Schizosaccharomyces pombe: one gene and its partners. The main gene of each other region encodes a partner of the protein of the gene in region 4 in a complex. Each region holds a gene or a part of one and is shown on either strand. Other genes may lie near its edges. The genes, in order: arc5, arp3, arc3 and arc1. A codon is read from its position in the direction of its gene.

Region 1 (7,798 bases), on a different chromosome or scaffold from region 4:
AACAAACCGCGAATAAATCAAATTCATGAATGATTTACTAGACCTTTTAAAATGCATTCACATCAAGTGAAGTGGGACACATACACATATCATCTTTTAGATCCTTCAGTCTAACTGTATAAGCACCAAAATGCAAAATTCCGTATTCATGTTAACAACACCCTAATTTACGTTATTTGAGTACTTTTCGTCCAGTAGCAGTCAATACAAATTCGAACAAGAAATAAAATATCAAATAGAATGTTCAGTAAGCTAACTTTTTCTGGGATATGTCAAAAATGATAAGCTGTAAAATTGAATTCTGATCATATATATTTTATTTAAAAAGTCTTAAGAATGAAAAAATCAACCATCTACTTTTCAATGGGTAGGTTGGATGGTTTAATGTAGGTAGCCATGTCAAAGGACTATTTTTTCAAATGTAATAAAACATTTCGTATCATTAATTGCTAGAAATCAAATAAATTAGAAAAATCTTAAAATCAATCTACGGTGATGTGAAAATTTGTAATTTTTAGTTTCATAATCGCAAGATCAAAGCTTCTTAGCATCTCTATGTCAATCAAAAGTGAAATATGAAGCGACAAAAATACTAGTCATGCTTTTTTCTTACTGAAAATTCGCCTCTTAGTTAAAACAACGTTTTTGCTATGTACGATCACCATGATCTGTACATTCATAGATTTTTATGTGTCATACCATATATCCAATCATGTCACTTTTATATTGATTTATTTAGGAAATGATTGGGCTTTCTCTTGATTCGTTTGATTTACCGAGATATAAACCGTGTTTTATATTTCGCATCTCCGGTTTAGCATACTTTACCAGGACCACTAACCAAGGGTGAATAAGTTAAGTCACCAGCAGATATTCCATTTAAATCTAACACCAAGTTTGTTATAAGTTTGTTCTTTCATATTTTCCTTTGTTTATTATTATTTATAAAAGGGGAATTTGAAGAAATCCTGGAGTTGACCCTTAGTAGAAAATTTTCTATAGTCTAAACAAAGCGAAATTTTTTTTTTAGAAGATGATGTTCTGCAAGCTTCTCCGTTGTCAAAACGGTATTGCTAGCAAAAGAGCTGCATTAAGCCTAAAAGGCTTTAAAACCTCTTCGATCAATTTAGTCGAGAAGAAATTGAACAAGTATAGTGAAACAATCACTGGTCCGAAGTCTCAGGGTGCTTCCCAAGCTATGTTATATGCTACTGGACTTAATGAGGAGGACATGAAAAAACCCCAAGTCGGCATTGCTAGTTGTTGGTATGAAGGAAATCCTTGCAATATGCATTTACTTGATCTCGGTCGACGAGTGAAAGAAGGTGTCAAAAAGGCTGGATTGACCGGATTCCAGTTTAATACTATTGGTGTTAGTGATGGTATTTCTATGGGTACTACTGGTATGCGTTATAGTTTGCAATCTCGTGAGATTATTGCAGACTCCATTGAGACCGTCATGCAAGGTCAATGGTATGATGCCAACGTCTCTATTCCTGGCTGTGACAAAAACATGCCTGGTTGTTTAATCGCTATGGGAAGATTCAACCGCCCTAGTATTATGGTTTACGGCGGTAGTATTCGTGCTGGTCACTCTCCTTGTCAGAACAATGCACCCATCGATATTGTTTCTGCTTTTCAATCCTATGGTGAATTTATCACAGGAAAAATTGATGAGCCAACCCGTCATGACATTATTCGTCATGCATGTCCTGGAGGTGGTGCTTGTGGTGGTATGTATACTGCAAATACAATGGCTAGCTGTGCCGAAGCTATGGGTATGACATTACCCGGTTCTTCTTCTTACCTTGCTGGCTCACCTGAGAAGTTTGCAGAATGCGAAGCTGCAGGTAGTGCTATAAAGCGACTTTTGGTTGACGACATTAAACCTCGCGACATCATGACACGTTCTGCTTTTGAAAATGCTATGGTCTTGACGATGACTCTTGGTGGCTCTACCAACTCTGTTCTTCATTTGATCGCAATTGCTAAGTCTGTTGGTATCACTTTAACTTTGGATGATTTCCAAGCCGTCAGTAACCGTACACCGTTTATTGCCGATATGAAGCCTAGCGGGAAGTACGTTATGGAAGATTTGTTCGCTATCGGAGGTATTCCTTCAGTACTTAAATATCTCCATGCTGAAGGTCTCATCGATGGTTCTAATATTACCGTTACTGGTAAAACTCTCGCTGAGAACCTACGAGGATTCAAGGACCTTGCCGAAGGTCAAAAGATCATTAGACCTTTGAGCAACCCCATCAAGACCGAGGGTCATTTACGTGTCCTCCGTGGTTCTTTAGCCCCTGAAGGTTCTGTCGCAAAGATTACTGGCAAAGAGGGCTTGAACTTCACCGGCAAAGCTCGTGTTTTTGATGCCGAAAACGATTTTATTGCTGCCTTAGAGCGTGGTGAGTTCAAGAAGGGCGAGAAGACTGTCGTCATTATTCGTTTTGAGGGACCAAAAGGTGGACCTGGTATGCCGGAAATGTTAAAGCCTTCAAGTGCTATTATGGGAGCTGGTCTTGGAAAGGATGTTGCACTTTTGACTGACGGTCGTTTCAGTGGTGGCTCTCACGGATTTTTGATTGGACACGTTGATCCCGAAGCACAAGTTGGAGGCCCTATTGCTCTTGTTCAGGACGGCGATGTCATTGAAATCAATGCTGTAAAGAACACTTTAGATTTGATGGTTGATGAGAAGGAGATGGCGAGACGCCGCAGTGTTTGGAAGGCACCTCCTTTGAAGTACCAACAAGGAACCCTTTTAAAATATGCTCGCAACGTTAGCACTGCCTCCAAGGGTGCTGTTACAGATTCCTTAGAGTAAAGCATATTCAATGCTTTTATAAGCGCGCATAGTATTTTGGAAACTTAGACGTTTAATGTTTTGGTAGTAAAGGTTGATTAATAAGCTTTTAATGCTGATTCCATAATCTCATCTAGAGTTTATTTGAATAATTTTGAATGAATAATTACTTTTTGGAGTACAGTGAAATGCATCGAGTTTAAAATGGGTTGTTATTCAAACTCCTGCATTTCTATTTTATTATTAAACATAATTGGTATCTGTAAATGTGAAAGGGAGCCATAACTTTCTGCTGACAATAAAGCAAGACTTTGACAGTTAGTTAGATAGAAATTTATTTACAGAAAAAATTTAAATTGATACTTTTTTATTCTATGTGCGTTGTGAAACGGTATCAATGCGTTGTTTAAACAACTGTAGTAGAAGTTTTGAATCCAAAGAATGACGAGGCTGGTTAAAGAAGCTTTCATAGACAGGGGTTACCGATTTATTATTTTGTAAAAAGCATTTAAGAAAGAATTCTTGAATAATAGGGCGTGCGAGATCGACGGACTCAGTACCATCGTAAGTTACATGAAAAAGTATACCCTTCCAAACGGACTTTTGTAAAACGTTGGCAATAGCCACTTTAAAGCTCCCTACTTCATATATTGAACCTTCAATAGTAAAGGACTGCCGAAAATTCCATAATTTCGTTCGCACAATGATGTCCTCAAGTTCAGGTTCTGCATCAATCATTGTCGCTTCATCCACACACGCCAGCATGCTGGGATTAATGTTTTGCTTCAAAAATTCTAAAGTTTTTGGAGTGACAGCATTTCTGTAAAGTTTATACTGAACTACCCATTTTTCTGAAATTCAAAGTTAGATCTTGAAATCATCAATCATAAGAAATAAAATCCAAACCAGTGTCAGCTTACTTAAATGTTGTGCAAAGTAGGTCCTAACCAGATTATCCTGTGCTGGAGAAAGGAACGTCGCCATTGAAGGCGATGAATAATAAATAACTCTATAATCAATCAGCAAAATAGTCAATCGGTATGCTTTTTACCCGTGAACAGGCATATTTTATAACAAAGATGAATGGTAATTAATTATGCATCTGAATATCGGTTTATACCGAATTATTGAGAAAAATGGCCGAATTAGTTCTTTTACTTCTACTGTAATGTTGATGTGAAGAGTTTAATGCGTACGGCGGTTGCAAGAATTGCTAACAGGCTAATTTAAAACCTTCATTTTCATTGTTCCTGTATTAAAAAAAAAAAGCAGATAGACATAATATGAGCTCAAATTTTATTAATTTATCTCTTGTCATTTTTATTATTTTCCAAGTCGCAAAGTATATGGCTTTTGGGTATGATAATCCCAGAGCAAATTGTTAAAAGCTTGAAGAGAATTAAGTTAACTGAATTACATTCATAATTAACTTCTGGAGAGTCAAATACTACGTAACAATGTAACTGGCTGGTTTGAGCACTAATTAAAAATCTGTTAATCCCAGGATGTTACATATGTGTCTCTTCGTTTTACTTTGAACTTTACACAAGAAACTACATAGTTCTGTCAGCAAAATAAGTCTTAAAAGTTATTGTTCGAATAGAAGTATAAACTCATACATCAATATACATACTGAAAATAGATAGAAGCAAAAAAAAAATTACTTTTAATCTTTATTCAACTAATTACTAGGCTGTATCTAACATATTTTCTTCTGAATCACCATAGGCAGAAATGTAAAATATGTAACCAATTTCTGTCTACAAGTTATTCAGAACTTTACATCTAAGACCAAAGGTAGAGATGATTATTTACAAATAAAAAAAAATAAACATCCACAAAAGAGGTCTATGGAGTACTGAAGAAGTTAGTAATGCTGTTACCAGACTTATATAGCTCCGCTCAAAAATTATAAGTTAAAGTTATAAGATTAAAAAAATATAAATATATTTTTTTGAATTTTCTTAACTTATTGGTTAAATTAATATACTCTATGAATTATAATAACTTCAGTTACAGACTTGCGTTCGACCGTTGTATGATGCCTCTTTAGAGCTACACACAGCTGAAACTTAACCTGTTCCATCGTTTTCTTTACCTTACCAGTTATAGAGTTATAAAATGACGTTTCGGACTTTGGATGTCGACTCCATCACAGAACCTGTTTTAACAGAGCAAGATATATTTCCAATTCGTAACGAAACGGCGGAGCAAGTCCAAGCAGCCGTCTCTCAACTCATTCCTCAAGCCCGGTCTGCCATTCAAACGTATGTTTATTTAAAAGAAGCAATTTTTTTATTAATTAAAATAGAGGAAATGCCTTACAAGGTTTGAAAACCTTACTCTCATATGTTCCTTATGGAAATGATGTTCAAGAAGTTAGGGTATGTGCAAACTGTACAAACTGCTTAAAGACGGTTTATATCAATTACGTTTTTATTTATTGATTAAATTTACAATTCTTCTTGATTTCATTTTATTATGGTGTAAATGAATTTTAACTTTTTTAGACTCAATATTTGAATGCTTTTGTTGATGTATTAAGCAATATACGAGCTGCTGACATTCCCGCATTTGTAAAAGAATGTTCAACGGAGGAAATTGATAATATTGTAAACTTCATTTATCGTGGATTGGCGAATCCTCAAGCCTACAACTCGTCTGTATTACTTAATTGGCACGAAAAGGTAACTTTTAGTTTATTGCTTTTCCCAACGCTCTAGCATTGCTTATCTCATGCTTTACATTTTTATTCGGTCACTAATACGGTTTTGTAGGTGGTGGAAATATCCGGTATAGGATGTATAGTTCGTGTTCTCAATAGTAGACCCGATCTATAAATATGGCTTTATCTTACTTTTTGGTATCTACTATTCTGTCGCTTATGGAACTGAATCAATGATTCTGTTTTATGTCTTCTTTCCCACATAATGACTCTTTTTATCCTTTAAATTGAGCTAGAATTTTCTAAATGGTTAGTAAGTATGTTCCATTTTAAAAAATAAAGTGCAATCGATTTACGCCTTTGCTGAAAAGATAATAAATCTAGTTTATTCAATATTAGCTTACTCTTTGAATACTTCGAACATGTTCTGGCTGTACTCTTCTTTCCCCAGTCTTAGCCGCTTCAATATTGGCTTCTTTTAGTAAGGATTGTAAGAAAAGACAGTAATCCAAATATACCTTGAAAATTCTGTTAGTTGAAAACATTCAATATAAAAAATTTGAATATCTTTATTAGAATAGCGCGTCCAAAAAGATACTGACTGAGAAATAGCTAGTTTCATTTATAACTTTCCATACCAAATCCAATGCGGAACTTTCAAGGCTGCGCTGGCAATGCTGACGAAAAAATCGTCTTATGCGTGCTTTAGGATAGCTCATAGTAAGTAGTTTCTTGCAAAAAAAAATATTAATCCCGTTTAGTTTTGTAAAATTAGAGAGTAATCATATCTTGCAAGGATAGCTCTGTATAGAAAGTGATAATCGTTGTGTCGTCTTCGAAGAAGGTAAAGTGCGAGTCCTTTTGAGTCATTAGTTCGAAGGATTCTACAAAGGTGCTATTGCAAATCAATTTTTTATAAATTTAATGTCATATTATTAATTGAAATTTTCTTAGTAAAAGTAATTATTACGTACAAAGATTAAAGCACTGACATTGCAAATTATGTGTCTTTGTTGTCAAAACAAGTTGGAATATTATATCAATTAGCAGCAATCTTAAGCATGAAAGCTTTTAAATACTTTGAGTTCATTTGTAAGCATGTATTTACTCGCTACTACTTTAAGAAAAGAAAAACTTTTTACTAGTATTTAAAAATTTGGTTGCTGGTTTGTTTTGCTTGCTCTGATTACACACGTATATCTGAATCTGTTATTTTATTCTTATTTAAACTGTGATTGTATGCATATTATGAACCTCTAAATTGCCTTCATTTGGAATATTGAGCAAAATACTTGGCAAGTATGGCGACTAAAAGAAAACCAAATTAATATTTACCGAGTTTCTTTGCTATATTTCCTGGAAGTTAGTCGCTTGTGATTCCGAATTATTGCTTTCCGCGACCTACATAAAATTCTGCTTTTAAACGAGTCCTTCACCACTACCTTGTTATAAAGAATACTAAGATCCGCTGTTAGGCACTAGAAGATTTTTACTTTAACTTCTCAAATTCGACAAATTAGAAAAAAAATTTTTTTAAAAACTTGACAGACAGTCTCAATAGAGGTAGTAATATACGTTTTCGTTACTACCTTACTTACCAGCTCCTTCAAGCGATTCATTTCCGAAACAATCATTTACACGCCAACTTACTATTGACTTTAATATCGAATTATCTTGTTAATTCTGCTTCTTATAATGGGTGATCCAACAAATAATAATGATAGTGAAACTAAACCAAATCCTGCTACGTACTGGAAAAGCAGATTTCCTGTTGCTCGTATAAAAAAGATTATGCAAGCAGACCAGGACGTTGGAAAGGTCGCTCAAGTTACTCCGGTTATTATGTCGAAAGCGTTGGAATTGTTCATGCAGAGTATAATTCAAGAATCGTGCAAACAGACGCGATTGCACCAAGCAAAGCGTGTTACCGTTTCTCATTTAAAGCATGCTGTTCAAAGTGTTGAACAGTTTGATTTTCTTCAAGACATTGTTGAAAAAGTACCGGATGCTCCGCCCATTAAAGCCGAAAGAAAGACAAAACGCCCCCGTGCTCGTCGAGCAGCTAATGAAGGTGAGCATAATGAAAGTGTTCCCGCTAAAAAAGTTAAAAAGAATACTGTTAAAGAAGAGGAAATTGAAAAAGATGACGAATCAGCTACCACAGAAACTCCTGTCAAAGAAGAACCTACTGGTGAGGAAACTGAAGCAGATCACGAGGAGAAAGCCTCTGTTGATCATGGTAATTTTTCTGACAAGACAACTAGTGAAGCCTCTTCCGCGTCTGGTGATGAGTAGCTACTTTCTCCACCCTATATGACCATAAA
Region 2 (8,282 bases), on a different chromosome or scaffold from region 4:
CTCAATAAAATAGATAAATAGAAATTCAAACCATAAACAATTAGTTCTGGTGAAGAACAGTAGTAAACTTAAAGGACTGCAATTTTTACAGCTGCTAGGTTCTCAAGTGACACGTTACTTTTATATATAAGTTTAAGCTGGTAATTATGATTAAAATATTTGATTCACTCACACTTATTCAAGGTAGATTTATATGTTGTACTTGTGGAGTGATTTAAAAGCTTAGACTTTCAACAGTACATCAAAGAATCGCTTGTTCGACACCGAAGTCACCCTAGAGATTAAAAAGTATGCAAAAGATAGTTAATCTAGCAACCGGTCTGTATTTTAATACTACTATTGTTAAGAGAATCATCAATAGCAAAAAGAAAACCTTTGAATTTGACAGCCTCTTTTCAGTCCGTTGTTAAGGCATTTCTGTTAGCTATCGTTAAGCAAATTAGTGCTAAACGTTATGTTTGACGAGTGGTTGAGATTGAAGAACGCTTCGATCAAGCTCTGTTTAATGTTTATGCAGTATTTTGGGCGTTTCTGGTAAAGCCTAATTGTCAAATTTCTCTTTAGAGAATGTTAAATAGAAGTAAAAAGAGGAATGGCTGTTATTTTTGGGTTAACGGCTCCTCAGATGAGATTCGATATGTCGCCGTCAAAGCTTCCCCTAAAGTAAATTGGAAAACTCACATTATTTGGAGATCATTGAAAAATGTTAAATGTATAGACTCTTTTCACGGAAACAATGAAATATTGGGTGCTGGTTCTTCTACCGGAAATATATCATTGCTTTCTGTTAAGCATCCAGAATTTCAAGCAGTAGTAACACCTGGATATGCTCGCCCTTGCAATAGTTTGGCATTTTCTGAAACTGAACATCTTGTTGCTGGATTTGCAAAATCTCGAAACGAGTCTTCCTTGAAGTTATGGGACTTGAATTCATTACTGTCTGACCCGAAGAGTAGTCCCTTAATGCAGTCTTCTACTCTAGACGGAGTTTCTTCCGTTTGTTATAAGAAAGACACTCCTCTTTTGCTTACCGGATCAACTTCGCGTTCTGTCCATATAATTGATACTAGGCAGCAACTAGACTCAGTTTCTTCCGTCAATACGCAATATTATAGTAATATAGTTGTTGATCCATTTTCTCCTAACTATTTTGCCGCAAATTCTTATGATGGTGACATTGCGATTTTTGATACTCGATACTTCAAATCCGATAATTATTTACAAATTATTTTACGGAACGAAAATAAAAAGCCCAAAAATCCACAATTATTTGCACTGAAATATTCTGAATGGAAACCTGGACAATTGGCTGTTTTGTCAAACAATTCGATTACACTTCGTCAATTATTGCCTTGTGTCAATGGAAATGAAGGATCCGCAAATAATTCTGTCTTTGTAAATTATGAGAAGAAATATCCTGTTAAACCAAATTCACAATGTTCTGGCATTGATTTTTTTACTCCTTCTACAGCCTTTCCAACTCATGTTCAAATTTTGGGTGTCATAAACGAACAACCGAAACTTTTTTCTGTCCATGATGAGGTCATTCCCTTTTCATTTAACCCTTATAATGATTTGATATTTTCCTTCAAAGAAAAACTGTATCCTTTAAACTCTTCACCATTTAACACACTTTCTGATGTCCCACAATTTGATGTCAGCGAATTTGTCGATGAAAACTCTTTCGATTCCTCGTCTTCTTGTTCCTCCAAAGTCTTTCTAACGACAAGAAACAACTCAATCAATTCAGAGGATTCCGCTCATGAAGTATTGCTTTCCTATAACCGCGTCCTTGGATCTGATATTCAAGGGACAATACTAGATCGCGTCAAAAAGGGCTACCAATTTGATTCCCAAAAAAACTCAGAATTAGTTTCTGATTTATACTTAAAAGATCTATGGTCTTGGATTCACTTAAGCCATAGACAATCAGAAGAATCACTGTTTGGAGACACAGGAGATACAGATTTCAGCTATCAAGGTGCACTAGGTATTTGGTTTATGGATACTGAATTGACTAGCATGTCCGATGTTTTTGAAGCAAAAGAAAGCAAATTTTTAGAAAAAAAAATTTTAAGACTTGCTAGAGATGTTATTGAGAGACTTGATTTAGATATATTTACGTCTATCCAAACTAAAAGGCCTTTACGCCAACTCGCTTTACTTGCCTGTGGATTAGGAATGTCAAATGATGACTTGTTGTTGGAAATTAGAAGACTGATTCGCAAGAATGAGCATGTAAAAGCCGCTGGGTTAGCACTTTTCCACGGAAAAATTGAAAACGTAGTCCGTATATTATCAAGTGGGAATGAGCTGGAGAAGACCATATCCACAGCAGTTGCCGGATACATTACATCGCAAGGCTTAAGTAACTTTGGAAGTGACTCATTGTGGAAAGAAATGTCTCGTAACTTAAGTACAGAATTGGAAGATCCATACTTACGTGCAATATTTGCGTATGTTTCCAACTCCGATTGGAGAGATGTATTAGATGAAGTTTCTCTCTCATTAAAAGATCGTCTTGGAATTGCTCTTCGCTTTTTACCAGATGACGATTTGAGTAATTATTTGTGCGATTTATGTCACACTACAGTGCAATCAGGCGACCCAGAAGGCCTGTTACTTACAGGTTTAACTCCTTTGGGAATGGAACTTCTGCAGAACTACATTGATCATACAAGCGATGTTCAAACTGCTGCATTGATTGCTGCATTTGTGGTACCTAAGAAATTTCTGGATAAACGTGCAGAGGATTGGACTGAAAGTTATAGAGAGCTTCTAAACCGCTGGAAACTTTACCGTGAGCGTGCAAAGTTTGATATCTTTCGGACAGAACTCTCAAAAAATCACACAGGAGAAATAACCAGAAAGGCTACAGAGCCATCTATACGCATTATCTGCAATTTTTGTAGAAAACCAATTTTTCCTTTCTCCAATAGGAATGAATGTAATAATTTACCAACGCCAATTCAACGAGGTGTCAGTAAAGCAGGCCCAGCAAAACACTTGGGAAAAAGTTGTCCTCATTGCGGACAGCCTCTTCCAAAGTGCTCTGTATGTGGGTTTTCTTTAGGAGATGAAGATGTTCCTCAGAAAGATGACTTTTCTCAAAAACCTCAAAACTATGTCAAAGAAGTTAATCTTCAGAAATCTAGATTTGGGTTATGGTTTAGCTTTTGTCTAAATTGTGGCCATGGAGCTCACGCATCTCATGCTTCAGAATGGTTTTCAACTCATACAATATGTCCGGTTCCTAACTGTGATTGTGAATGCAAACTGAAATAGAAATTGCAAATGAGAGCATTAATTAATAGCATTAAAATAACAGTTTATGGTTTGGTTCACAAGTAATAATTGCTACATGAGTGAATATAAAATCCATGATTACAGCTTAAAAATGTTTAAGGCTAAGAGGTTTAAAGCATAAGGTCTTTAATACTATGATTTGTTTAAAAATTCGACATAGCTATCTACATTTGTAATTGTTTGATAATACCAACGTGGTTAGTTTTATTACTGAAAAGGGATTAACGCAAGATCGTTAATATTTAATTTTCTAGTAGCAAGAAGCGTCTTCTAGCTTAGCAACTTGGTAATTTTAACCGGTGGTACTGGTATTGAAGAAATACATATTTAATTTTTTGTGTAAATTAATTTGGCCTTAGTAAAGATATCCAAAGTGGGTTGTATACGGGCATTCGCATTTAACGTAATCGGCTCATCTCGTAAATTACCATATGTTTCCCGTTAACCCACGTAATTCGACATCGGTGACCGTTGCGAGACGATATTAAGAGTTTCAACTGGAACCAACTTCTCTTTCGCTTACCTTTTCATAAAATAATAGCAATGGCTTCGTTTAATGTTCCCATTATAATGGACAAGTAAGTATTGATGTAGCGAAGTTAAATTGTTCGTGAATATCAGTTACTAACTTTATTTGTTAGCGGTACCGGCTATAGCAAGCTTGGGTATGTGTAATAGTCGTTTTAGGATGTTATTATCTCTCTTTTGAGCATTTATTAACAGTAATTTAATTTCAGCTATGCTGGGAACGATGCTCCTTCTTATGTATTCCCCACTGTTATTGCGACGCGTTCTGCGGGTGCTTCTTCAGGGCCGGCTGTTTCATCAAAGCCTTCTTACATGGCCTCGAAAGGCAGTGGGCATCTCTCAAGCAAAAGGGCAACTGAGGACTTGGACTTTTTTATTGGAAACGATGCATTGAAAAAGGCGTCTGCTGGATATTCTTTGGACTATCCTATCCGTCATGGACAAATAGAAAATTGGGACCATATGGAGCGTTTTTGGCAACAGTCTCTCTTTAAATATTTACGTTGTGAACCAGAGGACCATTATTTTCTTTTGACCGAACCTCCTTTGAATCCACCTGAAAACCGTGAAAATACTGCAGAGATTATGTTTGAGTCGTTCAACTGTGCAGGACTCTACATTGCTGTTCAAGCGGTTTTGGCTCTTGCCGCCTCTTGGACATCTTCAAAAGTTACTGATCGTTCGTTGACCGGTACTGTTGTTGACTCTGGTGATGGCGTTACTCATATTATTCCTGTTGTATGTATAAAAAATCTAATACGAGCTTAGATAAACAGTTTTGAACATTAAATGCATATATATATGCCCGAATTTTACTAACTGATAAACCTTAGGCCGAAGGATATGTTATCGGCTCTTCCATTAAGACAATGCCACTTGCTGGTCGTGATGTTACGTACTTTGTTCAATCCTTATTACGTGACCGCAATGAACCTGATTCAAGTCTCAAAACTGCTGAAAGAATTAAAGAGGAATGTTGCTACGTTTGTCCGGACATTGTTAAGGAGTTTAGTAGATTTGATCGTGAGCCCGACCGTTATTTAAAATATGCATCTGAATCAATTACTGGACACTCTACTACTATTGATGTAGGATTTGAACGCTTCCTCGCACCTGAAATATTTTTTAATCCTGAGATTGCTTCTTCCGATTTTTTGACCCCTCTTCCGGAACTTGTGGACAACGTCGTACAGAGCTCACCCATTGACGTTCGTAAAGGCCTTTATAAAAACATTGTCCTTTCTGGTGGTAGTACTTTGTTTAAGAACTTTGGCAACCGCTTACAAAGAGATCTCAAGCGGATTGTTGACGAGCGTATTCACCGCAGTGAAATGCTCTCCGGTGCTAAAAGTGGTGGTGTAGACGTTAATGTTATCTCCCATAAACGTCAACGAAATGCGGTTTGGTTTGGCGGCAGTTTACTAGCACAAACGGTATGTCATTATCTTATGTTTGTATATTTTTTAGTTTACCCGTAGAGATTTACTGACATGTTTAGCCTGAATTCGGATCCTATTGCCATACCAAAGCAGATTACGAAGAATATGGTGCTTCCATTGCTCGTAGGTACCAAATTTTTGGAAATTCTCTTTAATGAAATATATCATGAGTTTTGCGTCTATAGGATTTACTGATTAAAATGAAAAGTTTAATGGAGCAGGCATTAGCCTTAGAAGAAATAGACTTGAGGTTTGCTATGTTTCCAGGCTTTTTCATTGAGCAATATCAAATAAGATGTATATAATTAACTTGTCCAAATAATAATGATGAGAACCATGAGAATAATAATATAGTGATTACTAATAACGTAAAAGGAGAAAAAAAAAGAAAACGGATGAAACCGATGGGTTCCGCCTGATAAATACTTTATTATTCAAGAACGATGGATAAAATGGAAAGTGTACAAGTACTCAACGAATTTGTTGAGAGAAAGCAGAAGCAATCAAGTAGTCATCATAAAAAAAACTAAACTTCATCATTTTGCGGAGCAGGTAATGATTCATAAGAAGGTGGGCGTTCAATTGCACCGGCAACAGATGGAACGTCGCCGACAAATTCACCATTTTCATCAAATATTGCGGGCGGGGGAGGTGTGCTTGTGGTGGGTAAAGTTTTCAAGTACTGCTGGTTAAGAGCAGTAATAGGTTCATAAAGAGGGAGGCAATCAGTCTGTCGAACATGATGTTCGAATTGTTGTGATGCTCCGGAAGAAGAGCGCTCTCTCCTGTGAATTGAGTGTTGTGTTCTCTGCTGTTCCCGTGCAGAAATTATGGTTCGACACGCTTTAATTCTTTCATGATGCAACATAAATATGACAAACACAACGCAGATTATCCCAAACGTTAATACCAACACTTTTCCCCAGAACTGGGAGTAAGGGTCATACGGGATATCTGAAGCATCTGATGTTGAAACCAATTGATCATTAGCCATCACAAGGTCTATGGCTGATATTTCTTCCCCCATTTTTGTTTGATTATAATTTTGAACGTGTAGTGTTCCCAGTAGAATTTCAATTGCCACGGCTCAATTAAGACTGAACGTCAGAAATTTACAACAATCCAGTGAACTCACTGATATAGCAAGGCAATTATTATTCTTCCAATTTAATTTTACTCAATTACTTTGAGGTTTGTAAAAGTGAGGTTAAAACTGTTGTAAAAAACAAAGATAAGCCATAAAGCTTCCCGTCTCCTTCCCCAGAGTCTGGATTTTTTTGCGATATTTACGGTACGATACGGCAGTCACCGGAAGCATCCAAAAGCTGACCATGTATAATTATATGCTTTGATTTCAGATCATCCGTGCGCCTATGTATTAACTGTGTTGTATAAATTTATTTCACAATCGGCAAATTAGTTATGAATTAATTACTTTTGGTATTTCTGCTCTTGGTTATGCAGCGTAAGTGAATTTGACGATCTCCGTTTAAATAATGAGCTACTACGAGGTGATCGTTAAATTGTAAACAAAAGATTGGTTTAGTATGTCGCTTGAATGGAAACTGCAAAGTTTTTAATTAGAGATTCATCTGTTTCATCTAAATCTAAAGCAATTAATTTTTCATCTCTTCAGTTGTTCTTTTTAATAGAGTAGTTGAGGTGGATAAATGTTTATTCAAATTTTTGTTATTCGGATTATTTCGTACAGGAGAAGCTATCACAAAGGTCAAAGCCATAATATATTTAATAATTTATTGTAAAGAGAAAAATAATTATCAGAAAATTCAACATATTCAATTTAAGGTCAAGCACACTGGTGTCCGCTAATGCGTTTACTATACTAAGCCCTCTGCTTGCTTACGTGCATCGCCACTACCTAGCTATAGGTGCTTGTTGCAAGACAACAAAGTCTCGTACCTTTGCAGCGTTAAACGATTTTTAGCAATTTCCTCTTTCTTTAAAATTTGGAATTAACTGATTGTTTTCTATTCCTGTAATGACAACGCTGGAATCTCTGGATATGCCAGAGATGACAGAGGTCGAAGATGATACAGTCGACATACACATCGACAATTCGAAGGTCGCTCTCCTTTTCTCTAAAAGCAAGGTGTTTGTTCATCCCACATCGAAAATGAAGGATAACATATCTGGCTATTTGTCCTTGTCTAAGTCAAAGGCGCTAGGAAATTCATCAGTGGCCGGAAGCGATATTTTGTTATCATGGGTTCCTGATTCGTTTTTAAAAAATCGTCCCAGGGATCTTTCCGTATTTCAAAATGCGGAAACCCTTTCAAACGGTTCTATTAGAGAATGGGTAGAGATTCCTCAGCATTTGGACTACTCTTTTTCTGTACGATTGTGCAGCATTTATTCAATTATATTTCGACCTCCTAGATATGGATGGAATTATGGTAGTATAGTGATTAATTTGAGAGACAGTGGTGAGAGCCTCCCTCCTCTTTTTTTTCATGATGATGAATGTATTAGTACTATTGAGTATGGCAAGCAAATTACCAGAGATCGTTTTGATCCCTTCGATGAATCAGGAAATATGTTCTGGGGTGGAACGCATTTGTTGATGCAATTAAAGAAATACGCTTCTCTTGAACAGTCCTCACATGAATCACAACTGTACCTTGTTAATCCTTCTCCTGAGGATACTGTGGCATTTCAATCAGTTGAACTTCAAAAAGTCATTTCTAATAATCGACTTAACTCCAGTTCTACCCCTCCTACGCCTAGGAGCTCATCATCTATCTTTAATCCTTTTCGCCGTGCCCTTCATGATTTGTCATTCACTGTGCTTGAGCGGTTTAGTCGGGTCACTAACTACGGCAAATCAGAAGTTGACAGACTCATGGAGCATAAAGTTACCAAGTCTATATTGCCACACCTTCCACGTGAGCTTCAAGTGCTTCTTGAGTCAAAGAGAGTTCAAAAATTAACTGAAGAATATGATCCAGCCCGAATGTTTTTGGCTCGTTGGGCTGAGGGTATTGTAGAGCA
Region 3 (7,800 bases), 900 kb from region 4:
CGGATCCCGATTACTTCGAGGCTAGAGGTGAAAGAAATCCGGTAAAACCTCAGTCTTCCAACGTAGTACCAGGAACAAGTCATATAGGATCGATCAAATCTCCGGCGGATTACGTTTTTGGTGACATTATAGGAGATGGATCATTCTCAAAGGTAAGTTGATACATTGCTTCTCAGTTCAGAAGTTTTTCAACCGCAGGTCGATTAACCTATGGACCTTCGATTACTGACGAATAAGTTGTCTAATATTCGTTAGGTGAGAAGAGCAACTGATAAAAAGAGTTGGAAGGAGTACGCTATCAAAGTCCTTGATAAAAAATATATTGTCAAGGAAAATAAGGTTAAGTATGTGAATATAGAGAGAGATTCTATGATGAGACTTAATGGGTTTCCTGGTATCTCTCGTCTTTTCCATACATTTCAGGATGATTTAAAACTTTATTATGTGCTTGAACTTGCACCCAATGGTGAACTTTTGCAATACATCAAAAAGGTATATTTTTTCATTAGTCTATTCATTTTTCCTTTATTAACTAAGCTTTGGTAGTATCGTTTTCTTGATGAGAATTGTGTGCGCTTTTATGCTGCTGAGATTTTATCAAGTATCGAGTATATGCACTCCTGCGGTATAATTCACAGAGATCTCAAGCCAGAAAAGTATGTTTGAGTAGTGGTCATTAAATGTTCGTTTCCTTTTCCTAATTCTAACCTATTTTTTAGCATTTTATTTGATGGAAATATGCATGTAAAAATTACCGATTTCGGCACAGCCAAAATCCTACCCCCTAAATATGTAAATAGCCCTGATTACACTACCTTTCCAAGCTCCTTTGTTGGCACTGCGGAATATGTTGCTCCTGAACTATTGTCTAGACAAGTTGTTTCAAAATCGTAAGAAAACCTATTATCCCAGTCTATTTTTTTTCTGACAAATATTTAAGTTCCGATTTATGGGCTTTTGCGTGTGTTGTTTATCAAATGATTGTTGGTTCCCCTCCTTTTCATGGCAGCAATCCTAATAATATTTTCAAAAAGATAATGAGCCTGGAATATGAGCTTCCAAAGCTCTTACCACCTGATATCGTTCCTTTGTTTAGCCATCTTTTCCGTATTCAGCCATCTGATCGATCTACAACCCAACAAATAAAACAATTTCCTTTTTTTGCTACTATTACTTGGGACAATTTATGGACTCAAGATCCTCCTCCTATGCAGTCATTCCGGCCTAATTATAACATAGCCATTCCTAATGCTCCTGCTTATTATCGCTCAAATGTGACAGCCGCAGCTGCTGCTAATGCTGCCGCGGCATTTGCTTCTGCATCCATTGTAAAGCATCAGGAAACTGCTCGACGTCAGGAGCTTCCTACGGTAAATCGTTTCACTGCTCCAACTGCTCATTATGGCTATGCTTCACTTCGAAGCCATCAGATGCCTGTTGACAGACTTTATTACAAGTTGGTTCCATCGTCTGAGTCGATCATTGAATCTACCTCGGTCTTCGTATCACCCATTCCAAGTGTACCTGAGGGTAATAAGTTTCCATCTGGACTCTCAAAAATGTTTTTGAAAAGAAAGCAAAGGGTTATGCTATTAACTGATGTTGGTCGATGCGCTTTTGTTTGTAAAGGAAAACATGAGAGACTTTTTATCGAGATGGAGGTGAACTTGAAGGATTCCAGTGTTGTAGTGATTTTTGATGAAAATAGTTCCAAGCGATTCTTGATTGAAGATAAGGTCCAGTCCTGGATAATAGAAGACAGTTCCGGGGATGTCACCAAGTATAAAGACAAAATCCTTAAGTTTGCTGATGTTGCGTCTTCTCATCAATCTCGTTCTTCAGAAGAGAATGTAGAAGAGAACGAGGAAGAGTAACCCCATACCTTGTTTTATTTGATTTTTCAACCCATTTACTACCTTCTTTATATTTTATTATTTGTCGTCAGTGTTTTGGTAATATTTAACTATTTAAGCTATACATAATTAGAAATTACGACGCACCTAGGAAGTCGCAAGATGGAGAGGTATTATGTATACATATATATGTATAGTATTTATAATATATATACTTGAATTAATTTTATGTTAAAATTCCATTTCTTTTGGTGAGATGTTAAAATTATAATATTAGTAAGAAGAGAGAGTTAGATAGGATCGATTTAAAGCGCATACTCTTGATACCAATAAAAGTTTTGTGGTATCAAGGAAATAATGTTTATCAACGTTCCAAATTAAAACAGAAAAAGAAAATGATAAATGTTCAGGACCCATTATGCTAAGCTCTGTGATATCAATCCTCATCTTGTTGACATATGTTACATCATGTGGGCCACAATTAATAAAGCTATTAAAAAAGAGTTAGAAATATCAGTTTCTCTTACTTTTAGAAGAATTTTCAGAAGGCATTTTTTCCCAAAATAATTGAATTCTAGCAAGCAGGGCGTTATCGTTTTGAATGGGAATAACACCTGACAGAGCTTGCATTACTACTTCAAAGTCTGCATCAATTAGCGTGTCCCACATTCCTTGTATAACCGCAAGAGAAGTGGCTTGCAATAACCTGACAGTTTGACCTTTGCTTCCACCTAATAAAAACAGGAGATCCCATATACGTAATTGAGTATGGAAGGGCACGCATTGATGAAAAACAGTGAGATACCAACGTGTAGCAAAAGCAGATGGTTCTGCTCCAATTTCCGCCAGATGTCTGCCTGATTGTGTAAAACTTAACTCATGCTTAAGCATGTCAAAAGCCTTTAAAAGTGTATCAAACCCGGAAGAAAACAAGTCCCCCATGCCTCTATTTTCCAATAAATTTACCATCATTATAAATGCTTGTTCTTCGGGATAGTAAATGAGCAAGGTCGCAGCAATAGAAGCCATTCCTTGAACGTATCCAACACGAGGTATATAGAGAGCTACAGCATGAAGAACTCTAAATAGTAAACGTTGCCCTCCAATGTAGCGTTTTCGGAATAAGAAATGTGTAGCAGCTGTTCTGGGAACATCTAGGTCAATTTGAACATCATAGTCACAAATCTGCTCGTTCAATTGGTAATACTTGTCAATCAGTTTTTTATCAGGAAGAGAATCCACAAGAAAGGACCACCACGCAATAGATCGCCAACAATCTGGAATCCCCTTAAATGTACGTAAAATTAACTTACGAGTTTTTCGAAAAGAATGGAGCTGATTACCGGAAACGAGGTGTATTGAACACATCGATTTCCATTTTTGAATACGGGAAAGCTCTTTAGCTGATATTTCGTTGCGGTCATGCGACTCGCCGGGAACAACCATGAAGATGCTTTCATCAACGTACTTCAGCATGTCATCATGGCCGATTAATTTATTGCCAAGACGTTTGGCAGGGTTTGGTTTATCTAATGTTGGGTCTTTACTAACTTTATAGAACCCTAAATTATTAACATTAAAGTCTGAGCGATAGTTTCCGTAACGATCCACATTTTCCAATGACTCTTTTGTATCGATTTCTTGAACTTTTCCATTAATAGGTTCTGGTATATTTAAATTATTCTTGTCTTCTTGTAACCTGTACAACGACCGAATTCGTTGCAAATTGGTTGTTCTAGTTGGGGAAGGGTTTTCCATGCTCTTTCAGATATATCCTCAATTCCGTCACTCTGGAGAAAACAGATTACCTACTAAACTGTATTAAAATATCCAACACAGAAAGATTTAACAGGGGGGAATTGTTTCCGATGTAGTAATGTTTACGGTCCCAAAAGACCGTCTATCCCCATATAAGTCAGTACGTTAGATCCCAAAATCAAAATAACCAAACATGAAAATCTTTTTTTGACGTTTTTATAATTTTTCAAGCAATAAATGCATTCGTGCAAATGCTTATGAATTTGGTTCTCGCTACAAATTTATTGGCTCTATGTCATTTCCATTGATGAAAACTAGTTATAAAGTAGAGACCGAGACCCGATCACAAAACAAAAAAACGACACGCTATATTGCTTTACTGTAATTACATAGCTTTTCGCTATTTTGTTTAAAGAAAAGCTAATTTATCACTATTGATGCTTGACGAAATGCTCCCTATCGGCACATTCAGCAGGTGCTCAAGTTATCCAACAACATCATAAGCACTAGACATTAGATATGCCGGTATGTTCTAAAGTTTTGAATTTTTGTTGCTGACATGTTATGAAAGGCCTATCATTCCTCCTTCTTAAGTCTTACGGACGTCCCTACCACGGGAAACATAGCAATGCTGCCGTTGAAAACCAAGTTTCGTGGACCGGCTTATCCTGGTATGTTCCAGATATTTGTCAACTCTGTTTAAAGACTATTCTTAATGTTATTAGAGTACTTTCTAACATTTTTTATACAGCTGATGAGAGTCAAATGGATATTATTGATGAATGCATTGGGCTGTTTCGCGCCAATTGTTTCTTCCGCAATTTTGAGATTAAGGGACCAGCAGACCGTACTTTAATTTATGGAACATTATTTATCAGTGAGTGCTTGGGAAGAGTTAATGGACTCAATTATCGTGATGCTGAACGTCAACTTAATAGTTTAGCGTTGGAGAATTTTTCTATTCCTGGCTCTGCTGGCTTTCCCTTGAATGCATTATATGCTCCTCCCCTTTCTCCTCAAGATGCTGGTAAGATTCACCCAAACTGTGGCATTAGACATATAGATGTTTGTGCCGCTAATAGCTTTCTTGCTTTTTTTTTCATTTGCTAACTATTAAAAAAAGAAATAATGCGTACATATCTTACTCAATTTCGTCAGGAACTTGCTTATCGTCTTTTGTCCCATGTATATGCAACTGAAAAGGATCATCCCAGCAAGTGGTGGACTTGCTTCAGCAAGAGACGTTTTATGAACAAAGCTTTGTGAGTCTATTAATTAATAATTTGGCTCATACTGTATTTCAAAGCCTTTATGTTTTTCCGTTTCCTTTATTTCAAATGCGGCTTATAAAGTTTTTGAAGCGTACGAATGGCTTATTTAATGTAGGCAGTTTTATACGTAGATAGTAGATGCAAAAATAATCGCTTTACTTTCATGTACAAGTTATCAATTAGCTTTGTTAATTATGCTAAAGGAATATTTGAATGATTAAAGTCGTAATATTCAATGTTGGTTCAAAAATTTTTATTGAAATCGTAATTTTGATTTTTGCAAACGGCAGACCCAATAATGAGGATGGTATATCCATTCAAGCATACTTCGTTTGTCCCCCATATAAGTCGTGTCGACCGAATTGTGCTTTAAAACCTCAAATCCCATACTATCCATCACGTAAAACAGCTGCTCGAGAGTCAATTCAACGAAAGGTTGTTGCTGGCTATCACTGTTAGAATTAGAAGTACCTTCTGACTCAAAATGATACAATAAAGGCCCGAGATTTATCCAATAACCTCCATCTACCAAACAGTTTTTAATTGTATCCAAATAGTCCAGTATGTTTTTTGTAGTGTCTATAAAGAAGCAGGTAGCTACTACTTGAAACGAATCACGACTTTCTTCGGTGCCGTATACCTCCAGGAAATCCCCGGCTGCCATTGAAAAGTTTTGTGAATTCCGCAGATATTGAGAGGGAACTGCATCAGGAATATTTAATGAACGCACCTGGTCATCACGCATGACATGGTTCGAAAATGAATGAATATAAGGATACACAAGAAACTGATTTTCCTGCTTTACGCAATTCAGTATGAAATGCGACGTTAAAAGCATAAAATATGAGAACTCATTTCCTTGGCATGCAAAGCCTATTAAATGTTAGAAGCTATGTCCAAAAATCCAAATTTAGAAAGAAGTTAGAAAACATGTAATCAGATAAATAATAAATCATGCTATTTTTGATTGATAGTATCAAGTGTACCTACCTTCCACAGCTATATCAAAGGCCAATCTTCCTAAGCCGGAACCTGGAACAAGTACACGAATTTTAGATCTGTCTATAGAATCAGATGGGAAAAGTGAATTTAGTTCCTCGATGAAAGGAGCATATGTAGTACGGCGTTCCTCAACACATTCGGTCGACCAATCTCTCGCAATTTGCTTGAGAGTGCTTGAAACTTTTTGCATCATATCAACATTGACATGAAATAACTCATTTTGATCGAAATCACTGCAGAACACAGGAATGGCTGCGTTAGCGATTGCTTCAGCAAGCACGCTGTTCTGCTCGATACATTGATCAATCCTTGAAAGATGCTTTAAAAAATTGTTGTCAGAGTCCTGTAAGAGTAAGTCCTTGTGTTCAAAAGACAACCTGCTCATCGATTTTCTCTTCTGTTGTGTTATTGTATGAGCATATTGCCTGTACAAAAAGAACGCGCTTAAAACTTCTTTCAAAACTTTTACTTCTTCCTCATCATATTCCATAGTTTTTTTTGATGTTTCTGAGCTCTATCTAGACTTTAATATTTTTATCATCTAAGTCGCAATTTTGGCGTTGTGGAGAAGTTAAACCTCTAACTTGTTGCTTCATTGAAGTTGGAAGTGTTGAAGAAACCAATAAGTTAAGAATATTATGGTTAATATAATTATGTTTTATGTATTTCATTAGCTTTTCAAGTTATGTTTATATCTACTGTGTTTGATTGCAATATTGAATCATCTCTGCTGAAAATCCCTGCAACGCGGTGCCTCTATGAAAATAGTGTTTGCCTTTTGCAAAAATCCCATAGGTTTTATTTGGATAGTTGTCAGACAATATTTTACAACAGCAGCCGCAAAGGAAATTCACCATGCTTCAACAATACCGGAACAGCTAATCTTCTGAAGCATCGTTATAGTAGTATTGTGAGTTTTGTAGATTATAAGAAAATAATATAAGAGAATCTTGGTGCACGCAGTAATATCATACAATATTTATATTGCAGCTTATAAACGAGACTGGAAATACACGTGAAAAGGTAGTCAGGTTAAAAGTTTAACCCTGTGACATCTGGCTAATCTTTTATCCTATTGCGCAGTTAAAAGCGGGAATTACTTCTTTTTCTTATATTGTATCAAAAATTGTTGGCTTCAGTGACCTAAACCCTTGAACAAAAGAAAAAAAACACGAATTTTCACGGCCGGAAAAACTTTCTGCAACGTTTTACAAAGGATCTACTATCATAGTAAGTAGAAATTTTGGCTTCTTGACATATAGTACTAAGTAATTTTCAAGTCGATGCATCAGTTGACTTCAATTGAAAGAGCTTGCTAGTTTGTGATGTTTATGGCATTTGAATTCGGTAATATCGCTAATTTGATATGGACTTACGTTTAGCTTTTTATTCTGTAAAAAAAATTAAAATTCAATGTAGTTGATATCCCAGCTATATATTCAATCTAAAGCTACAACGCAAGACATCGTCAAGTAGTAAATTACTTTTTACAATTGCAAATTAACTTTTAACAGATTGGCTAAGCAAACGTGTATTAACTCATTTAGCGAGCGGATCAAAGTTTTGCTCTACGCTTCTGTAAGTATGATGTATGTGCATCAACAACACGACGTTAATCCTTGTCACGTAGCAACTGCAAGCCACCCAAAGCACACATCGTGTGGTTTCGTTTACTATACATTTTTTGGTCAAATTTTACTTTTAAAGAAATGTTAGCTCTTAAACTTCAAAAGAAGTATCCGGAGCTCACTAATGAGGAAATTCTAACCTTAACCGACCAATTTAACAAACTTGATGTGGATGGAAAGGGATATTTAGATCAACCTACCACTATTAAAGCCTTTGAAGATTCAAAGAAGGGTTCTTACGATGAGGTCCGTGAAGCAATTCGTGAAGTTAACGTTGATTCGTCTGGA
Region 4 (8,014 bases):
AGCTTATGAGCTGCTGCTTAAACACTCGTTCATGATTATTCGATCATTAGTCTTTACTGTCTGGATTCCTTCTTAGCAAATTGTTTCCATTCTTATTTACACTGATTATTTCGTTGCTGATCGTGGTATGATCTGTATTCTGTTTATCCGCTACCTTCAAAATCGGGTCCTTTTAACTTTGGTCACAATCATATGAAACCTTGACTAACGGTTATTAGATTATAATGTCAACCCCCTTCAACCGTGTGCAAAGACCCAAACGCCATGTCTTCAATTGCTTAGTACAGAATGAGCCTGGTGTTTTATCCCGTCTTTCTGGTATTTTGGCCGCTCGTGGATTTAACATTGATTCCTTGGTTGTTTGCGCAACTGAGGTAGAGAATCTTTCTAGGATGACGATTGTTCTTCGAGGGTATGTAAAGTAATTGATCCAATTATAATTGTCACTGACCTTTTTTACTTTCCTTCTAATTTTTATTAACATTTTTTTAGAGCTGATGAAGTCGTTGAGCAGGCAAAACGTCAGATTGAAGATATCGTATCTGTTTGGGCAGTCTTGGATTACACCGGTACCAGCATGGTCGAGCGTGAGCTTCTTCTTGCAAAAGTTTCGCTTTTGGGCCCTGATCACTTCCAAGAGCATTTTGAGAGAAGTGAGAAAGTTGCCGAGTCTACCAATGCTAAAGCTAAAAGTGATGGTGAGGGTGTCATGAATGCGAATGCTGCTTTACAACTTCGTGCCAGTCAATTGGCTGCTATCAATCAACTTACTACTCTCTTTCATGGTCGTGTAGCTGATATTTCTACGGAGACTATTATTCTTGAGTTGACTGCTACTCCTGATCGTGTTGATAACTTTCTTTCTTTGTTGCGTCCCTATGGTGTCTTGGAAGCATGCCGTACTGGTACATCTGCGATGACTCGCGCACCCCATTCTAACGAAGTTACTGAAGAAGCTGAGGACGATGTTGAAGTTGAAGAGGTTTTCCTTCCTCCTGGATAAACCAAAAAAAAATCGCATTCTTCGCTTCTACTTTGATGCTTTAAGCATTTTTTCCCATTGTACAAATATATTCACTTTGTGTTTTGTACATCCAAAGAGCGGTTGTACTTTTTGCGTAAAAATTTTAGTTATTTTTTTGAGATTTTTGTATAGGAATCTACGAATATACATCGAAATTTATTTGGTTAGATGAAATTTGTTGCTATGTTGTCTTTATTTAAACAGCTGTAGGTAACATATAAACGATAACATTGTTTTGCATTACTTTTTATTATTAAAAAAGACTATGATTTCATCCTTTTTATAAAAGTCATTAGCTTGTTGAATAGCTTGATTTCAGTGTAATTACACTGTTGGCATGGATGGTATTTTAAGGTGTTAAGATAGCTGGCTAACTTAACACCGTTGGATTTCGTAAATATTTTAGACAGAGCCTTTGATTGCCTCTCTTCTGTAGATGGCATTTAATAAGGATGAATAACTCCATGTCAAATCTCTTGCACCTTTTTGGTGACCATCGTCACGCGAAAATTGTTCAGACATTGAACCATTTGGATGTTGGAACTCAGCAACAGCTTTTAAAAAGTTATCAGCATATGTGTGCATGTTTTTCCTGATAACGGACCAGTTGTATGGATCTCCAAACTCAGCAAATTTCATAAAGAAATGGATGTTATATTCAGTCAATTCTGGTAAACCTTTATTATCGTAGTATGCGATTGCTTTGTAGATAATCTCGGCAGCGCTGCTTGTGCAAATGAACCAAGGGTTACCAATAGACTTAGAGACACCATCGTATACATCCTCGGGATAGCGTCCCATTGCTTGCTTCCATCCCTGATTGACGGGATAATCTCTGGTCATGGTTTCTTGCAACTTCAACAAGGTTGGAAGGATGTGCATATCAAACTCATTTGAGTAAAGGCTTGCAAGCAAAGTGGAGCAATCAAGTCCTGAGCGATCGACTCTGCCTTTATAACCCTTAATAACACCCATTCCAGGATCCCAGAACTCTCCCAGTTTTAGATCAATAGGCTCGATCGTGCGTTGGTAGAGTGCGGCTTGGTCAGGTGCTCCAATTCTCTTTGCAAAAGCTGTACCATCTTGCATGGCACGCTTCTGAACGGCTAGAGTAAAGTAATGAACGTCCTTAATTTCTTCCCAAAGATCAAAGCTTGCCTCTGTCCAGTGATTTGCAGTATAATCCAAGTCGGCTAATACAGCCTCAATCCAGACAGTAACTTCATGGACCTCTTTACCATTTTCAAATAAATAATTCATGTATTTGATAAATGCAATAGCCCGAAGAGCAGGGGAATCATTCTGGGGACGTCCCCAATCTCCGTCATAGCTTGTCCCATCAACATTAAATTTAGGCTCACCAAGACCTCCGGCGTAAAAGTCTCCACTTGGGTTCGGGACCTTTTGGAGCCTGACCATTTCATCCATATATTTGACGATAATCGGCTCAAGTCCTTTGTCCCCTTCAAAGAAACGATCTAAAATAGTCATGATCGTCAATGCACTATCACGAACCCATTGATAATAGTAATCAGGGGAATCAGTTGAAGGGGAAGCAATAATACATCCAGGATTAATATCCTTAGCATGCATACCGCTGTCACCGATATTGTTCAGCATATGTCCCATAGCAATACCCTTTTGCTGATCCGTCCATTCATCCATAGAAGCTTCCTTGCTTCTTTTATTAGGGGAAAGTAAGCTTTCTGCAGATACGACCCCCCCAAGGAGTAAGAATAACCAGTATGTACGCATGTTGGAATTTAAAAGTATTGTAAAATTGGGTAGACTATACAAATATTGATGGCAATCGTGTTTAATTATATAGGCAAACGAATAAAAATATGCGCTTTAGTTAAAATTTAACTGGAATATTTGCTCTATATATGTCTTTTGCTTTGTTTATTAGTAAACAAAAACAGAGGGAATTACCATCAAAATCGATCATCATGCTGCGACACGAATGGACAAAACTAGACTATATAAGTTAGTAAATAAACAGAGTAAATGAATGTGATTGATCCTTTTTGGCTTATACTGAAAATTTGGCGAAGCAAGGATTACCAAAGAAAATGTATTTATTGTTTGTTTATTTTCAACACTTGCTTATAAAGTTTGATTCTATAGTATTCAGATCTATGATAATATGGAAGTGTGCATTCACCAATTACTTAAATAGCGACAAAATTTGTTGAATTGGAAAAAATCGACAGCACAGCTTTTAATATCAAATACGCTACTGAGTCTGAGTATAAGCAACAAGTGTGATCTTTTTAAATAATCATCGTTAAAAAGCACAAAATATAACTGTGATAATGGACAAGATGTCGCTGTCAAATTCTGAAGCAACGTTTCAGTTACTCCAGCAATCATTAAAACACATCTCTTTGTTGTAAAGGAGAATTATTGTATTATGCTCTTCGCCCTATTATTTATTCATTAATAAGAAAAATACTCAGAGAGCATCGTTCACTCACGATTGTCAAGACATTAAGATCTATTGTTCTTCCACAATCAACGCAAATAGAAATCTTGTATCCACCTCATATTTTAAAAATAAAAAATCTCTAAAAGATATGCAAGAAAATCAAATTTTATTTAATGGAATTTTTTTTAGTCTTAATTGAGTTGTAATATTTACAAACCTTTAAAATGTAAACAAAGGAGTTACCGATACCATCGATATGCGTTATCGTATATAAAGTACTCTAACGTTTTTTGTTAATGTATCTACTGCTCTCGTCATCACCAATATCGATTCAGCCTTGGATATCGTCTATCATCCGCAAAACAGTAGACTGCTAGTCCTGTTACTGAAAAATGGCTACCTCTCAAGTTTTACACATTCTTCCTAAACCCTCTTACGAACACGCGTTCAATAGTCAAAGAACAGGTACAGTATAGGACCTAAATAAGTAGATTTTAACAAATTTGATATAGAGTTTGTCACCACAACTGCTACGAACCAAGTTGAACTTTACGAGCAAGATGGAAATGGGTGGAAGCATGCCCGAACATTTAGCGATCACGATAAGATTGTAACTTGTGTCGATTGGGCTCCGAAATCCAATCGAATCGTAACTTGCTCTCAAGACCGTAATGCCTATGTTTATGAGAAACGTCCTGATGGGACTTGGAAGCAGACCCTCGTCTTACTTCGTTTGAATCGTGCCGCTACGTTTGTTCGTTGGTCGCCTAACGAGGACAAGTTTGCTGTTGGTAGTGGTGCTCGTGTCATTTCTGTTTGCTACTTTGAACAAGAAAATGACTGGTGGGTCAGCAAACATCTGAAACGTCCGCTTCGTAGTACCATTTTGTCTTTGGACTGGCATCCTAATAACGTTTTATTAGCTGCCGGCTGTGCAGACCGTAAGGCATACGTTTTATCTGCTTATGTTCGTGATGTCGATGCCAAACCAGAAGCCAGCGTTTGGGGTTCACGTTTACCTTTCAACACTGTTTGCGCTGAATACCCATCTGGTGGTTGGGTTCACGCCGTTGGATTTTCACCTTCGGGTAATGCCTTAGCGTATGCTGGCCATGATTCTTCTGTTACGATTGCATATCCCAGTGCTCCCGAGCAACCCCCACGAGCTCTAATTACTGTCAAATTATCTCAATTGCCTTTGCGTTCTCTTCTTTGGGCGAATGAGAGTGCCATTGTGGCTGCTGGCTATAACTATTCTCCTATTCTTTTGCAAGGCAATGAGTCCGGTTGGGCCCATACTCGCGATTTGGATGCCGGAACTTCCAAGACCTCATTCACTCACACAGGAAATACTGGTGAAGGTAGAGAGGAAGAGGGTCCTGTTTCATTTACTGCTCTTCGTAGCACATTCCGTAACATGGATTTGAAGGGCTCCAGCCAGTCTATTTCGTCTTTACCAACCGTTCATCAAAATATGATTGCAACCCTTCGACCTTACGCTGGGACTCCTGGCAATATTACTGCGTTTACCTCCAGCGGTACCGACGGACGTGTTGTTTTGTGGACTCTTTAGAAAAGATATCGGCAAATGAATCTTATCAAATCAATTATCGAATTTCCGTAGATGTTAATCTCATAGAATAAAAGAATTGAACAAGCTTTAGCTAGATATAGTAACTGTTATTCCGCAGCTTATATGATTACTATGTCGTCTTATAAATTTTTGTCAATCATATTCAGTTTTGTGTATATATTTTTTCTTAGAGACCCCAAAATTGAGAAGTGCTTTTGCTACGTAAGTTTACTTATACCACCACTTGAGACTGAACCACGGGTATGCGTTCTTACGAATAATCATTAGATATAACTTAGATTAAAGTGTTTATTAATTGTATAGTTAGTAAAATTAGTAAAGATCAACCTGAAAAGTTTAAACACCAAGTTGGATAAATAATATTGTTCAAATTTATGTAATCCAAACAACGAAATTGAAAGGATGTTCTAATTTGATCCTTTCGGCAAAATTTGAAAACCGTAACGCGTGAAATAAAAATATAATGAATAGAAAAAAAGAATGAGAAAGAAATGATAGTACTATCTTCTGTCAAAAAATCGTTTTAAGGTACCAATGTCTCCAACAGCTGTAATGACATCCATTTCTGGAACAAGCAAACTAATGATTCGGTCCTGAGGCTTTCCGTTACGCTGCTTCGTGCGCAAACGAATGATTGCAAGAGTTTCTAAAGAATTCGCGACATCGCAAAATTCCGAACTTGTTAATGGATAAATCAAACGATCTCGAAGACACAAAGAACTGTATTTTTCAAATACATCGGCAACACTCAATGAGGTTTTTTCACAAACAACAAGCGTACAAAGGATGGCTTTCTGTTGAAGACCAAGGTTTTTTAAACGAGCACTAGCAGATTGGCTCATAGCAGATGTCGCTCGGACAACATGAGCAATTGATGCTCTTGGTATATCAACAGAAGATAATGTGTTGTCATGTTGAGCTTTCCATTCTCTTTCCGCAAGTTCAATTGCATGCCTACATATGTCTAATGCTTTTCTCAAGTCACCACTTGAAGCTGCAACTTTCCGGGCACATAATTCAATTGCAGCAGGATGTATAAAAGGTGTTTCATCAGCATGCTGAGATACAACATTTATACTATCATCGCTTACTTCAGAGATTGATTTAATAGGAGTAAAAGGATTGTTTTTTTCTGATGTGGTAGCGGCGGTTTTCAAACGCGCTTTTATAATTGTTGAGATTTCTTGAGCAGTATAAGGCGTAAAAGAGAGTAATTTGGGAGTAATATGCTTTGTTCGTAAACGAGGGAGAAATCGATCTGTCATGTCTAAGGCATTTGCAATGCCTACCAAAATTAATCTCGAAGTCGGTCGAGAGGGCCATTCAAAAAGCGTGTACAGAACCTGCTGTTCGCGAGCAATCAAGTGATCCATTTCATCTAAAACAATAATGACTGGGTTATATAATTCATTGGCGGACTGGGTGAAATGCGACTCTAGTTCACATTGGAAATTGATGTGATGATCTTCATTTTCTAAAATTTCCTCTTTAACAATTTTAGAGTGAATTTTTTCAAAAATTGCTTTTGGTTCATTAATAGTCATACAATTAATGTAACAAACATTAACTTTGGGATAATCGCTCACTACATGATCCAGCACGTTGTGAAGCAGAACGGTCTTTCCTGTGCCAGGGGCACCACTTACGTACAATGCACCTCCAGCATTAGCATCAAGATGTTGACGAAAGAAAGATTCCACAATTGACTTCTCATTTTCACGACCCACGACTCCTGCTGAACGATATGATTTACGTAAACTCAATTTGGCAGTAGAATTATAGGACGGAGTGGAGGGTGTCGAAGGAGTGGGAGGAAAAAGTTGACGGTGAGGTGTCGATTGCAAAAGGCGAGTAGCAAATGGAACAGGATTACATGTACGATTTAATGATTTGGGTGTAACAATTTGAATGGTCCTTTTGGGGGTTTTAGGAGTTTGAGGTGTTGTGGGTAATTTAGGTTTCTTATTCTCCTTTAACTGAGCAGGAAAATTAGGATAAAGGTCAGTTTTCTCCTCTTGCAGTTCTCCTAGTTCATATTTTATTCTTTTTGTGGGTGTTTGGAAATGTGAGCTAGCCAGCGTACGTTTTCTGCTGGGTGTAGTCGGAATCTCTATTGAAAAGGAAGGTGAATGCTCCCTTTGATTAGTTTTGTTAGTACAGTCAATCAAGGCTGCAGAATCTATAAAACGATTGCATCTTCGAGGTGTATGACAACCTATTGGAGTTTCACACATATCGATACTTTATAGTAACCCCGTTTACTAATTATGTTATTTACCAATAGACAAGTCAGGTAAATTTGATAAAAGGGCTACTAAGTAATATTAACTTCGTGCTTGGTGTTTAAGTTTTGTTTAAGAGCAGATATGTCTTTTATAAATATACGCGACGCGACACGTAAACGCGAAATCTAATTAATCACGAAGAGTAAATGAGATGTCGCGTTCAACTCTACGTGTCGTGTCGCGTTCTACGCGCGAACCTTTTTACTCTATAAGTTTATATTCAGGTAATGATATTATTTTATAACGACTCATCCTCAAAGATATGAAATGCCTTCTCATATTCCAATTTAGTTACGACGTTAGTAAAATTAAAGTAAAAGACCCTAAATTCTTTTAATAAATTAGAAAATCTTTTTTCAATTATCCCTAAAGATAACAGAGGTCCCACGAACGAATTTTTGATGGACCATACCATCTTTGGTGCTAATGGCCAATAAAGCAAACAGCATTTCGATTAAAGAAAAGTAAACCTCTTACAATGTTCACTAAAATTGAATTTCATAGCAAAGTTTCCTCTAGTTTAGAATGCAAGTGAACACTTTAAGCTAGTTTAACAAAAGGAAGATGAGAATTTTGGTAATTATCCAAAAGAATAAACTAAACATAAACCCCAAATTACATGCCCAATCCCTTTTTTGTTCCTTTGTGTAAAACACCGTGCATATATTGTTGTTCTAGTTCTT

What was found.
Region 1: the proteins of arc1 (region 4) and arc5 are in contact, whole or in part, in a crystal structure (PDB 3DWL), measured with the Schizosaccharomyces pombe proteins. Residues at the interface, in NP_595909.1 of Schizosaccharomyces pombe: Gly205 (codon at 4,504), Gly206 (codon at 4,507), His225 (codon at 4,564), Asp226 (codon at 4,567), Ser227 (codon at 4,570), Lys248 (codon at 4,633), Leu249 (codon at 4,636), Ser250 (codon at 4,639), Gln251 (codon at 4,642), Leu252 (codon at 4,645), Pro253 (codon at 4,648); in NP_593727.1 of Schizosaccharomyces pombe: Ser137 (codon at 5,599), Gly138 (codon at 5,602), Ile139 (codon at 5,605), Gly140 (codon at 5,608), Val143 (codon at 5,617), Arg144 (codon at 5,620), Asn147 (codon at 5,629).
Region 2: arc1 (region 4) and arp3 share a complex: the UniProt entries of both Schizosaccharomyces pombe proteins name them as parts of the arp2/3 complex.
Region 3: arc1 (region 4) and arc3 share a complex: the UniProt entries of both Schizosaccharomyces pombe proteins name them as parts of the arp2/3 complex.

What each region holds. Positions count from the first base shown.
Region 1 is NC_003424.3:2,346,403-2,354,200, reverse strand, and holds arc5 (ARP2/3 actin-organizing complex subunit Arc5), read left to right. Parts: upstream 1-4,876; 5' UTR 4,877-4,930; coding exon 4,931-5,076; exon of another isoform or gene 5,077-5,120; coding exon 5,121-5,193; exon of another isoform or gene 5,194-5,233; intron 5,234-5,319; coding exon 5,320-5,496; intron 5,497-5,586; coding exon 5,587-5,649; 3' UTR 5,650-5,749; coding exon of another isoform or gene 5,750-5,776; 3' UTR 5,777-5,878; downstream 5,879-7,798. Other genes in the region: ilv3 (dihydroxy-acid dehydratase), read left to right, coding at 1,034-2,830; mediator complex subunit Med20, read right to left, coding at 3,182-3,660, 3,730-3,818, 3,861-3,874; CENP-W family protein Wip1, read right to left, coding at 5,750-5,776, 5,879-5,992, 6,113-6,193; negative cofactor 2 complex subunit Bur6, read left to right, coding at 7,170-7,769.
Region 2 is NC_003424.3:346,628-354,909, forward strand, and holds arp3 (ARP2/3 actin-organizing complex actin-related protein subunit Arp3), read left to right. Parts: upstream 1-3,805; 5' UTR 3,806-3,849; coding exon 3,850-3,884; exon of another isoform or gene 3,885-3,947; coding exon 3,948-3,971; exon of another isoform or gene 3,972-4,043; coding exon 4,044-4,572; exon of another isoform or gene 4,573-4,667; coding exon 4,668-5,267; exon of another isoform or gene 5,268-5,332; coding exon 5,333-5,428; 3' UTR 5,429-5,669; downstream 5,670-8,282. Other genes in the region: GATOR2-SEACAT complex ubiquitin-protein ligase E3 subunit Sea4, read left to right, coding at 568-3,285; SPOM_SPAC630.04C (uncharacterized protein), read right to left, coding at 5,800-6,300; GTPase-activating protein Gyp7, read left to right, coding at 7,273-8,282. UniProt on the Schizosaccharomyces pombe protein: Functions as ATP-binding component of the Arp2/3 complex which is involved in regulation of actin polymerization and together with an activating nucleation-promoting factor (NPF) mediates the formation of branched actin networks.
Region 3 is NC_003423.3:3,108,535-3,116,334, reverse strand, and holds arc3 (ARP2/3 actin-organizing complex subunit Arc21), read left to right. Parts: upstream 1-4,097; 5' UTR 4,098-4,130; coding exon 4,131-4,136; exon of another isoform or gene 4,137-4,182; coding exon 4,183-4,282; exon of another isoform or gene 4,283-4,362; coding exon 4,363-4,638; exon of another isoform or gene 4,639-4,734; coding exon 4,735-4,877; 3' UTR 4,878-5,135; downstream 5,136-7,800. Other genes in the region: pdk1 (serine/threonine protein kinase Ppk21/Pdk1), read left to right, coding at 1-152, 256-492, 547-656, 720-890, 941-1,874; SPOM_SPBC1778.09 (GTPase-activating protein), read right to left, coding at 2,367-3,611; SPOM_SPBC1778.07 (carnosine N-methyltransferase), read right to left, coding at 5,136-5,755, 5,873-6,374; fim1 (fimbrin), read left to right, coding at 7,594-7,800. UniProt on the Schizosaccharomyces pombe protein: Functions as a component of the Arp2/3 complex which is involved in regulation of actin polymerization and together with an activating nucleation-promoting factor (NPF) mediates the formation of branched actin networks.
Region 4 is NC_003423.3:2,210,594-2,218,607, forward strand, and holds arc1 (ARP2/3 actin-organizing complex WD repeat subunit Sop2), read left to right. Parts: upstream 1-3,804; 5' UTR 3,805-3,844; coding exon 3,845-3,917; exon of another isoform or gene 3,918-3,964; coding exon 3,965-5,025; 3' UTR 5,026-5,224; downstream 5,225-8,014. Other genes in the region: acetolactate synthase regulatory subunit Ilv6, read left to right, coding at 219-412, 493-1,003; meu17 (glucan-alpha-1,4-glucosidase), read right to left, coding at 1,427-2,779; cdc18 (MCM loader), read right to left, coding at 5,547-7,280; protein tam10, read right to left, coding at 7,947-8,014. UniProt on the Schizosaccharomyces pombe protein: Functions as a component of the Arp2/3 complex which is involved in regulation of actin polymerization and together with an activating nucleation-promoting factor (NPF) mediates the formation of branched actin networks.